Linked DNA regions of Arabidopsis thaliana. Changing the gene in region 2 together with the main gene of any one other region gives a genetic interaction. Each region holds a gene or a part of one and is shown on either strand. Other genes may lie near its edges. The genes, in order: ERS1 and EER5.

Region 1 (5,555 bases), 8.6 Mb from region 2:
CCTTGTCCTCCTTATATGGTGAAGCAACAAGGATCTCAAGTGCCTTTGATTCCTATTCCTAGGTTGAAACCACAGAACACCCTTGGAACATCCAAGGCTAAGAAGTCCGAGAGTAAGAAGAGTGAAGCTAAGACCAAGAAGGTGGCTAGTATTAGTTTTCTGGGTCTTCTGTTTTGTCTATTTTTGTTTGGTGCATTAGCTCCAATTGTGAACGTTAATTATGGAGGAATTAGTGGTGCTTTTTATGGGAACTATAGATCTAATTATATTACTGACCAGATTTACAGTCAGCATAGGGATAGAGTTTTGGATACATCTCGTAGTGGTGCTGGTACTGGGGTTTCTAATAGTAATGGGATGCATCGTGGGAGAGATTCTGATCGAGGAGCTAGGAAAAATATATCTGCAACAGAGAGTTCTGTCACTCCTGGAAATGGTAGTGAGCCTCTAGTTGCATCACTCTTTGTTCCGAGGAATGACAAGCTTGTGAAGATAGATGGGAATTTGATTATCAATTCTATATTGGCGAGTGAGAAAGCCGTGGCTTCGAGAAAGGCTTCTGAATCAAAGGAGAGGAAAGCTGACTTGATGATCTCTAAAGATTATACCCCTGCACTGCCTCTACCTGACGTGGGAAGGACAGAGGAATTGGCTAAGCATCTCTATAGATCTAAGGCTGAAAAACAGAAAGCTCTATCCTCTGGCTCTGCTGATACTCTGAAAGACCAAGTCAAAACAAAAGCAGCCAACGGTGAAATGCAGCAATGGTTCCGTGAAGGTGTTGCAGGTAATCATGGGTTTTTGATCTTACTTTCTGTTCCCTTGACTTGGTTATGTAGGCAGGCATTGTAGGTATACTAGTCCTTATCATATCTTGATATTAGACACAAGAACATTTTAATGAGGCTTAACTTACCTTCAGCAAATCTCTGGTCATGAGTAGATGTATTGTATAATCTGGATTAGATACTAAACACTAATAAGGAACATGTGAAATTGTTACTCATATTGTATATTTTTCTTCATCTTTCTCGGCAGAAGCTGTAAGCGCAGTAGTAGCGTTTATATCTTTCTTGTTCACTAAATAATAACACCTTTTTTGTTTGTTAAATGACTATATTGTAGGTCCCATGTTTAGTTCAGGGATGTGCACTGAAGTGTTTCAGTTTGATGTATCCTCAACCTCTGGAGCCATCATTCCTGCAGCTACCAACGTCTCTGCTGAACACGGTAAGAACACCACAGACACACACAAGCAACAGAACAGAAGAATCCTTCGTGGTCTTCCCATTCCACTCCCAGGATCAGATTTTAACCTCACGAAAGAGCACCAAAGAAACAGCAGTAGCAAAGAAATCAAGCCTGCTTCATCAATGGTTGTATCTGTGCTTGTTGATCCCAGAGAAGGAGGTGATGGAGATATAGATGGGATGATTGGGGGACCAAAATCACTGTCTCGAGTTTTTGTAGTCGTGCTTCTGGACAGTGCAAAGTATGTAACATACTCCTGTGTCCTACCTCGATCAGGAGCTCCTCATCTTGTGACCACTTGAAGACATATGAGGATTGAAACATATATCAGCAGGTCTTCTCTCATATAGGCTTTGTATGTAAAAGAATAAATACCTGCTCTCTGGTATCACGTAATATCCTTAGCTAATACCGTTGTCCGGTTTTTGTTTCCAGATGTAGAATCCGAATGCTGTAACTTTTTTTTTTTACCTTTTATAAACTCATAGCCTTAGAAAGTTTTATCAAACCTCTCATATACATTGCAAAAGTCGATGACCAAAAAATGTCATTCTACAATAGAAGCTGAAATCCAAGTAGACAAAAGTGATCAGTTAGTTGATTCCATGGTTTGAGCCAAGGGGGCATCGGTGATAGCAGGAGAATATGAGCACACAAGTGACAGAAGAAGAAGTCTTTACCTGAAGGTCGACGGAGAGAGAATTGGATTAGCATGAACCCTCAGATTCATGAACCTGAGCTCACTTTTAAAATTTCTTTATTTCATTGTCAGAAAAAGAGAGCTAATAATATTATTATTTAAATGTAACAAGTAGGCCTATAACACGTGAACTTCCCTCTTTGCAAAAAAAAAATCATCAAAAACTTTTACCTCTCATTGGTTTCTTCTTTATCACACTGTTACGCTTGGATTCTCATTTCTTCAAGTTCATAACGCTCGGATCAATCAGGAAGACGAACTTGAACTTTCTTTTTTTCATCATTACCCAAAGCTATGAGGCTCACACCACCAATAGCTCCGCCGTCATGAATCCTTCTCTTCCAGGTACTGTGCCGTCTCGGGATAACAAACTTTCTATTTATTCTCTTCTGATCGGATCTATCTATCGATGAAGATTGATTTCACTACTTTAGTAACATTTCATCTGATCGATCTGTGTTGTGTTATCGAGGAATCAATCTCATTTTGTAGATTCAATTTTCTGGATAGATTTTGTATCTCTTTTCCATAGCTCTAGTCCAAATCTAGTCTCCACTGATATCTGAGTTTTGTTGACCAGGTCAACACAAGTCAGAGCTCCAAAAATGGAGTCATGCGATTGTTTTGAGACGCATGTGAATCAAGATGATCTGTTAGTGAAGTACCAATACATCTCAGATGCGTTGATTGCTCTTGCATACTTCTCAATCCCACTCGAGCTTATCTATTTCGTGCAAAAGTCTGCTTTCTTCCCTTACAAATGGGTGCTTATGCAGTTTGGAGCCTTTATCATTCTCTGTGGAGCTACGCATTTCATCAACCTATGGATGTTCTTCATGCATTCCAAAGCCGTTGCCATTGTCATGACTATTGCTAAAGTCTCTTGCGCGGTTGTGTCGTGTGCTACCGCGTTGATGTTGGTTCATATTATTCCTGATCTTCTCAGTGTTAAGAACAGGGAATTGTTTCTCAAGAAGAAAGCTGATGAGTTAGATAGAGAAATGGGTCTTATTTTAACACAAGAGGAGACTGGTAGGCATGTTAGGATGCTTACTCATGGAATTAGAAGAACTCTTGATAGGCATACTATTTTAAGAACCACTCTTGTTGAGCTTGGTAAAACTCTTTGTCTTGAGGAATGTGCGTTGTGGATGCCTTCTCAAAGTGGTTTATATTTGCAGCTTTCTCATACTTTGAGTCATAAAATACAAGTTGGAAGCAGTGTGCCGATAAATCTCCCGATTATTAATGAACTCTTCAATAGCGCTCAAGCTATGCACATACCTCATTCTTGTCCTTTGGCTAAGATTGGGCCTCCGGTTGGGAGATATTCACCTCCTGAGGTTGTTTCTGTCCGTGTTCCTCTTTTACATCTCTCTAATTTCCAAGGCAGTGACTGGTCGGATCTCTCTGGCAAAGGTTACGCTATCATGGTCCTGATTCTCCCAACCGATGGTGCAAGAAAATGGAGAGACCATGAGTTAGAGCTTGTAGAAAACGTGGCGGATCAGGTCCATCTCTTTACTTGTATATGTTTGGTTGTGTGTCAAGTTGCTTTACCAGCTTTTAGTGTTTTGTTTTGTCCCCTGACTCTCACTTCATTCAGGTGGCTGTGGCTCTCTCACATGCTGCAATTTTGGAAGAATCCATGCACGCTCGTGACCAGCTTATGGAGCAGAATTTTGCTTTAGACAAGGCTCGTCAAGAGGCTGAGATGGCAGTACATGCTCGAAATGATTTCCTAGCTGTTATGAACCACGAGATGAGGACACCGATGCATGCCATCATCTCTCTTTCTTCTCTTCTCCTTGAGACTGAGCTGTCTCCAGAGCAAAGAGTTATGATCGAGACAATACTGAAAAGCAGCAATCTTGTGGCTACACTAATCAGCGACGTTCTGGATCTTTCGAGATTGGAAGATGGGAGCTTACTCTTGGAAAATGAACCATTCAGTCTACAAGCGATCTTTGAAGAGGTAACTAAATCCCCCTGATTAACCAGTGAAGTCCATTATATATGTCTTACATGAATAACATGGGCGCTTTGAATCTGCAGGTCATCTCTTTGATAAAGCCAATCGCATCAGTGAAGAAACTATCAACGAATCTGATTCTGTCTGCAGACTTACCAACTTATGCTATTGGTGATGAGAAACGTCTGATGCAAACAATTCTTAACATCATGGGCAACGCTGTGAAATTTACTAAGGAAGGCTACATCTCCATAATAGCCTCTATCATGAAACCCGAGTCCTTACAAGAATTACCATCTCCAGAATTTTTTCCAGTTCTCAGTGACAGTCACTTCTACCTATGTGTGCAGGTTAGACCCAATCTACAAATTACTAAACTACAAAGTTAAGCTTCTTACTGTGTTCTTACTGTTATAATCATGGTGCAGGTGAAGGACACAGGGTGTGGAATTCACACACAAGACATTCCTTTGCTCTTTACCAAATTTGTACAGCCTCGGACCGGAACTCAGAGGAACCATTCCGGTGGAGGACTCGGGCTAGCTCTCTGTAAACGGTAACAACCCAAAAGTATATATAAGTTATAAGCAGATGGTGTTACAAATAGCTAAAAGGCAAGTTTCTGTTGATGGATGTCTCTGGTTAGGTTTGTCGGGCTAATGGGAGGATACATGTGGATAGAAAGTGAAGGCCTAGAGAAAGGCTGCACAGCTTCGTTCATCATCAGGCTTGGTATCTGCAACGGTCCAAGCAGTAGCAGTGGTTCAATGGCGCTACATCTTGCAGCTAAATCACAAACCAGACCGTGGAACTGGTGATACATTACGTTGGAAAGACTTGTATTGAGGTGAGACTTTTTAACTACACAGCAGCAAGAGAAAGAAGAAAATACATGACCGGACGGTGTGATCTAACTTATTGGATTTTGTTGGATGTAATATGTAAAATAAAAATCCTATATACGGGGAGAGGTACCTTATCTGTTCTCACTATATTTTATTGAACATTACTTTAGAGAATATGTTTTGGAATTCACTACTAAATAAACGATATAAATCTTCACGAAAAGAGCAACATTTTGTGGTTGTGGCAGATTCACAAATTCTTTTTTATATATGATAAATTACCTTAGAAAGTTTTACTTACTCATCAAACTTCTCAAATACATTGCAAAAGTCGATGAAAAGAAAAATGTCTTCTACAAAATAAACAAGGAAGCTCAATGAGACAAAGTGATCAGTTAGCTGATTCCATGGTTTGAGCCAAGGGGGCATTGGTGATAGCCATCTTCATGTCAAGAGGATATGAACCACTGCTTTGTTCTCGAATCTCTCTGTATTCTTGGCAAATGGCACACAAGTGACAGAAGAAGTGTGTTACAAAATCCCCACATGGAGCCTCCTGAATCAAAGAATGTTAAATCAGTCAGAAGCGCCACATACATACCTAATGGTATTATCCACATATGTGTCGTTTGAGAAATTCTAACCTGTAAATTGTACTTGGCTCTTAATGATTTGCGGTACCCGCAAGCATAACATGACACAAAGCATCCCGGTAGACCGAGCAATGCGCCATTAGTTGCAAAGCAGCAAATGGTATTGACCAAAGCCCAGGAGATGCAATGGGTTA
Region 2 (6,241 bases):
ATAATCGGGAAACTTGGAAGCATAGAGAAGAACGACATCACCACCTTTACTATGACCAAGAATGACAGGAACTAGACGGTTCATGATGTTAGAGGAGGACAAGTGTTGAATAACGTAATGCAGATCATCCTCTGCTTCACTGTTGAAGTTACCATAATAGAAAGTTCCTTCACTATCTCCGTTACCAGAGAAATCGAAACGAAAAGAGCTGATTTTTTCTTTCTCCAAAGCTGTAGCCACGTTTTTGAGAATCTTGTTGGTCTTGTCCGATCTAAAGCCATGGCATAAGACCACAACTTCTTTTGATCCAGTTTCGTGAAGCAGACCCACGAGCTTCTCGTTGCGGCGGTTCGGAATCACGATCTTCGTTGGCTTCATCGTCTTTTTGCTTCAGGTGGTAATCGTAGAGAAGAAAACAATGAGGCCCCCTATTGATGTAAAAAGAATAAGGTAATGGAAGTATGGAACTGGAACTCTCGCCAAAGATCAAATTGCATTTTTCTGTGGAGATACGAATGAGACTCGTAATCACTTTTTCTTTTTTTTGCTAAACTAAAACTCGTAATCACTTATTCTTCTCATGTCGATATTCAGTGGAAATTTGGACCTTACTCGTAAGTAGACTCCTCAACCATGGTGAAAACTCCACAGTTTTAAAGTCACATTTCTATTGTAAAAACAGTTTTTGTTTTTTGTTTGAATGAATTTTACACACAATTAGAAAATAAAAAGTGTTTGTTGATACAACAAAAAAAATAACACGTGAAGACTTATGAGCTAACAGGCTTCCCGTTTAGTTTAGGGAAAGGATCTTGCTTGCTTAGAACTACCACTTTGCTCTTGTGAGCTAAATAACCTTTCACAAGGTTTTTGTATATCAATATCGTCATTATACATTCCACCTGCAAATACAGTATTATTTTGACAACTGTGAGTTTATAGAAGATTTCAATTTTAGAAGAAGTCAAAAGCAATGAATGGGATGGTATTGTAGAACAAACCTCGTCCAGATCCATGTCCATATCTAGCCATCTTAGTGCTTTGGCAATCCCTTCAAGCTTCAGCTGGTGAGCTCTCGCTGGATCACTCAGCTTCTGGTTTATATAACTGAAACATTGATAATAATAAGAGTTATAAACTCAAGAATCTTGGATGGTATCATAGCTTGTCTTTGCTTACATTTTCTTCATGAGTCTCTGGTAGACTTGGAGCTCTAGCTTTTCCAAGACAAGATACACACCCGACCTCAAGAACCTGTATAAAAGAAGAGTATTAGATCGAGATATTAAGTTGTTCGGTGATAGAATCAAAATACTCATCATATAGAGACTTGCACAACTCTACTCTCGACCCAACTGCAAATCCTAACCCCTAGACAAATCCAGAACATCCCAACTCTTTCTGCCCCAATTTTCTTTTAACCTGTTAGCTCTCTACCTAAGAACCAGGTGTTACTGACCTGTCAGCAGAGCTATATAATCCACTACAAGCAGCCTATACTAATTCCAATACTCATGCTCTAGAGTATCCACAAGGACTCTATCATTTGGATTAGATGAGAAAAGCAAGATATCGAAAGAAATACATACCGATCTTCATGTTCTTGAAGAGCATGCCGGAGAAGCCTTAGATCACCCTTTCTCAGAGCTTGCACAATCTTTGTGTACTGGACACGTAGAGAAATAGGATTAAGAGAGATATGATATCACTCAGCAGATGCGAAATAAGTTTTGACATAGATTCGAAGAAAATTTTATAGAACAACAGAAAAGTCGTTACCTCATGCAGATTATAATTTCGCAGGAGCTCATCTTTTGGTATAATTCCTAAAGAAAGCTTCACCGGTACCAAATACTTTAATATCATCCTGATTCACATAAGGCCACATTAGCTGATTAAGCAACGCAATGCAAGAGTAAGGTAATCACAGAGTAAAACCAGAATCAGACCTTATATTTCGTTCTCTTTTGGGGTTGCAATTTTGCAAGGCATATGATAGCTTTGTATCAGCCTGCAAGATCCAAAAAAAGAGATTAAATGTTACTATCAATATTTGGATTGACACTACGAAATGAACTGTGATGGTAAGAAAAAATCTCTTAGTGACTCACAGCAGGAAAATTTTCGTTGAAGACTTCTAATCGGCCGGTATAATACATGTATGTAACCTGGTGTTTGCGAAGAATAAACAGAAGATAATAAGTAACCGAATAAGGAGGCCAAAAACTAAAACTGTTTGCAGAGAACTGCGCCAGACCTTATCTCTTCTTGGAAACTCCTCAAAGTCAAATATCCGAGCAGTTTCGATACTTCTTATTACACTTCGACAAAGATTGACGGTTCCAAGCTAAAATACAAAATTGGGGATACCTGTTTAGTACTCCATTTAATGGTTAAATCATAAATATCAAACTGTTGCCAGAAAGCATATCACCTTAAAGTAGGTCTTGAACAATTGGCAAGTCACATATAATGCTCCGACTCGTTTTGGACCTTTCCCCTATAGTTTAAAACTACATAAGGAGCCGGAAAAAATATTGAACACAAATATAAACTAATATTCCTGAAGATATATAGATAGATCAAAGGGAAAACTTACAGCAAGAACTCCAAAAACTTTCATGAGAAGAGACCCAGCTGCTTTTAATTTCTCTGGAGACTTTCCATTAGAAGTTAAATCTTTATCAGCCTGCAATTCCATGTGGAAAAATCATGCTTTCAGAACTGACTCCTCGACACAATGAAACCAGACAAGGTTAAGATTTTGAAAAAGGGATATACAAATGAGATACTACCTTTTCCGCAAGAACTCGAATTTCATAACAAACTACATACAGAGCTTCCAATGCCCAAGCAGATTCCCAATTACGAAACTCCTGAACAAATGCACTGCACATATAGAATCCATCAGATATCAGACATTGTGAACAGACAAAAAAAAAAGCTTATCACCCTGAAATCATATTAGACATCAATAGAGGAGCAGAGAGGAACAAGAAGACTTTACTTGGCAAACTTATCGAAAGCAAGGTATGCTTCGACTAGATTCCCAACTCGGTAACTTTGTAGAGAACGAAACACATGAGCCAGAATCTCGCCATATTCAGAGAATCTATCAGACTGTCTAATCAAACTGCTAGAATCCTGTATCAGTCAAAGAAAAGAAAACTCAAAGGATTCAGCACTTTCACAGCTCTCTACATATAAATAAAAACCCTAAATCTAAAATCCATACTCATAAACTCAAACATAGACATAGAGTGTTCACTACAACAACTCAATAGGAGACACTTTCACGGCCTAAATTCATACTCATTGGTGAAGCAGGAGGACCCAATTGGAAAATCATACTCATTAGTGAAGTAGGAGGATCCTAGATTGACATTGATTGAACCTAAAAGATACACACTTTGCTAACATAAAGATAATGTTCCTAGTGTTTTGAGCCCTAAATTCAGAAATTCATACTCATTGGTGAAGTAGGAGGACCCAATTAGAAAATCATACTCTTAAGGATCTTACATTGAATCGATTTAACCTAAAAGTTACAAACTTTGCTAACATAAAAACCATGCTCCTAGTGTTCACAATTCATACGAGAACCCAATCGGAACATATCAGAAGCATCCTGGATTTGAAATCGAACCTAACTTTACCAATTTACAAGGATCATGCCACTAATCACAGGAACATACTCCAAGCTGCTAATTTGAATCATGGGTCTCGATTTAACAGAGAATATATGTACCTGGAAGACGTTGAGTGCGTCGGCGAGTGAGAGAAGAGGTGGAGAATTGGAAGAGAAAGAGAGGAGACGGCAAAGTGTAGAAGAGTCTTGGTACGAAACGGCGTCGCAGAATCGGTTTAGGTATTCAGTGATTCTCCGGTGAGCTTCACCCATACTAACGTACGCCATTGTCACCTTCTTCGTCTGCGTCTTCCTTATTCTTTGAGAGAGACACGAAATCAAATAAGTCGCCAGGAAAAAAAAGGAAATAACGGAGTTGAGAAAAACGACGGCGTTTGGTAATTAACTAAATTGTTACTACGTACTAGTCTTTTCTGGTATTAGACTTATTGACATATGTTAGTTGGGCCATTTAAGGCCCATATGAAATACAATCATTAAAATGTTTGAAAATTTATTTGTAAAGGATTTGAAAATATCATTAGTGTTGGAAGGATTTTAAAGTTCCTGTAATCGGTGGTACTGATCATGAATTTTTTTTAGAGTTTTTAAGTTCATATAATCGTTTTATAGATCATGATTAATTTGCTTTAAGGTTTTTTAAGTTCATGTAATCGTCCGTAATGTTGACATCTGTATGTAAATATGTCTTCTTAGCCCGATGGTGACGTGAGGAACTTTCTTGAAGGGACATGAAATCAATTTATACCATGCATATAACTCAACAAGTTGCCAAAAACTCGAAGAAATGAATATAATCAACTTGTCAAAAGTAATTAACTGATCAAATAAATCACTTGTTTCCAAATGTGATTTATACTTTCACACTTCTATATATTCCCATTGATATTCCCCTTCTTTCATAGTTAGCAAAGGCCTCTACTACATGTACATGATAAATAAATAAATAAAAATCACGCTAATCATATAATTATCAATATATTTTATTCTTGAACACACAATTAATAGAAATTTTGAGTTGAGAGAAGTCAATCCAGGATTAGTATTTATGTGTAATGCTAAAAGTTGAAGATAACGAGAAACTTGAGAGGTTTTTAAGGTTCCTACTTTATTTTTGGTATGAAGGTTCCTACTAAAATATGCTCTTATATATCATTTTATTTAAAAAGCATTCCATTTGAAACTAATCTAAAAATCTTTAGATTCATTGTTCACCACTCATAGTAAGAGTTGCATGTGGACCATCTTATATTCTCTACTTTCTCATACTTCGTATTTGGAACCTTTATTCCAACAAATTCAATGTGTAAAGCCATCATTACGTTCATTTATTTTTGCCTTTTTGCGTACATAAAAGAAACATCATAACTTGACATGTAAAAAAAAAAATCATTGATTCGATTTGAGACTTTTGAAAACCTTGTCAATTTTATAAAATTTGGCCGATTTGATCTAATCCACATAATCCATCCCTTATAGACGAAATTAAATTTTCAAAGGGGATATTAAAAAAAAATATCAAAAAATGGAAAAATTTAATATCAACAATTTTTTTTTTAACAATACTCCATAAACATAATAATTGTATTAAATTTAATTTTTTAATACAATAAACATTTTTAACAAATTTAAAAATATAAACTTTTCTTATTCTCTATGTGTTATCCATCACATCAATTTCAACACTTTTTTTTTTTCCGTCAATTTCAACACTTTTAAGAATTAAAAAGTCTCATTTTCTTTTTATTCCTTTTTTTTTAAAATTCCTTTATTTTTCGGATAATTAAATGATTCTCTAAGCTTCATAGCAATGAAACACTTTGAATTCGCATTTCGGCGATATAGTCTCTAATAACAACCTCGCCGTGTGCTCTTGCCTCACCACCGCATCTTCTTTCTCCACCAGAACCGCTCCGACGATCCTCTCGTATCCTCCTCCACCACCATTAGCCACATAATCAACCAACGCCGCCTGTACTGGTCCCATACTAGGATTATACGCCGCCGATTCCATATACCAACCTCTGTACACTTTCCCGTCACAATCCACCAGCGAAACTCCCGATGGACATAAACTATACGGCGCGTACGATCTATTCGCCGCCGCTAAAGCCGTTTGTTTCAAATCGGCGGATGAATCGGTGTTTCCGTTACAAATCGAATCCAGATCTGAGATTTTGAGATGGTTATCGTGAGATTCGAGAAGAAGAGGATGATCTTTCCCGAGAAGATCGTCGGGACCGAATCTGTGTGGCAAGAAGCTTCCGAGACGTAAGAATCCGTCTGAATCGGCGGCGGAATCGGAATCGGCGGAGTTGTTTGGATCGGTGATAAGGATTTTGATTTCAGGTGCGTCGCGAATTTCTTGGAGGAATTGACGGCAATGGCCACATGGTGCGGCGGAGACGGCGAAGAAATTGAGATGACGTTCACCGTTGAGTGTGAGATTGGTGACGAGGAACTGTTCGGCGTGGATTGAGTGGTGGAGAGGGAGATTTGGGAATTCGACATTGACGCCTAAGAAGATCCGACCTGATGATCCGAGTCCGACGACTGCGACGTTGAATTTCGAAATCGGAGTTCGAGCGTAGG

Evidence for each region.
Region 1: of EER5 (region 2) and ERS1, a change in one rescues a mutant of the other (synthetic rescue), as found in Arabidopsis thaliana (one study listed by BioGRID).

The regions. Positions count from the first base shown.
Region 1 is NC_003071.7:17,083,821-17,089,375, reverse strand, and holds ERS1 (ethylene response sensor 1), read left to right. Parts: upstream 1-2,049; 5' UTR 2,050-2,296; intron 2,297-2,531; 5' UTR 2,532-2,556; coding exon 2,557-3,462; intron 3,463-3,557; coding exon 3,558-3,926; intron 3,927-4,006; coding exon 4,007-4,273; intron 4,274-4,351; coding exon 4,352-4,479; intron 4,480-4,569; coding exon 4,570-4,741; 3' UTR 4,742-5,055; downstream 5,056-5,555. Other genes in the region: BZIP17 (Basic-leucine zipper (bZIP) transcription factor family protein), read left to right, coding at 1-787, 1,126-1,553; AT2G40935 (PLAC8 family protein), read right to left, coding at 5,160-5,324, 5,413-5,555. UniProt on the Arabidopsis thaliana protein: Ethylene receptor related to bacterial two-component regulators. Acts as a redundant negative regulator of ethylene signaling.
Region 2 is NC_003071.7:8,465,154-8,471,394, forward strand, and holds EER5 (proteasome family protein), read right to left. Parts: upstream 3,993-6,241; 5' UTR 3,917-3,992; coding exon 3,749-3,916; intron 3,145-3,748; coding exon 3,008-3,144; intron 2,919-3,007; exon of another isoform or gene 2,898-2,918; coding exon of another isoform or gene 2,890-2,897; coding exon 2,796-2,889; intron 2,690-2,795; coding exon 2,600-2,689; intron 2,501-2,599; coding exon 2,435-2,500; intron 2,348-2,434; coding exon 2,258-2,347; intron 2,169-2,257; coding exon 2,112-2,168; intron 2,012-2,111; coding exon 1,950-2,011; intron 1,868-1,949; coding exon 1,780-1,867; intron 1,667-1,779; coding exon 1,590-1,666; intron 1,255-1,589; coding exon 1,180-1,254; intron 1,108-1,179; coding exon 1,002-1,107; intron 903-1,001; coding exon 771-902; 3' UTR 537-770; downstream 1-536. Other genes in the region: AT2G19550 (alpha/beta-Hydrolases superfamily protein), read right to left, coding at 1-378; CDA1 (cytidine deaminase 1), read right to left, coding at 5,445-6,241. UniProt on the Arabidopsis thaliana protein: Involved in the regulation of ethylene response. Probable TREX-2 component required for nuclear RNA export.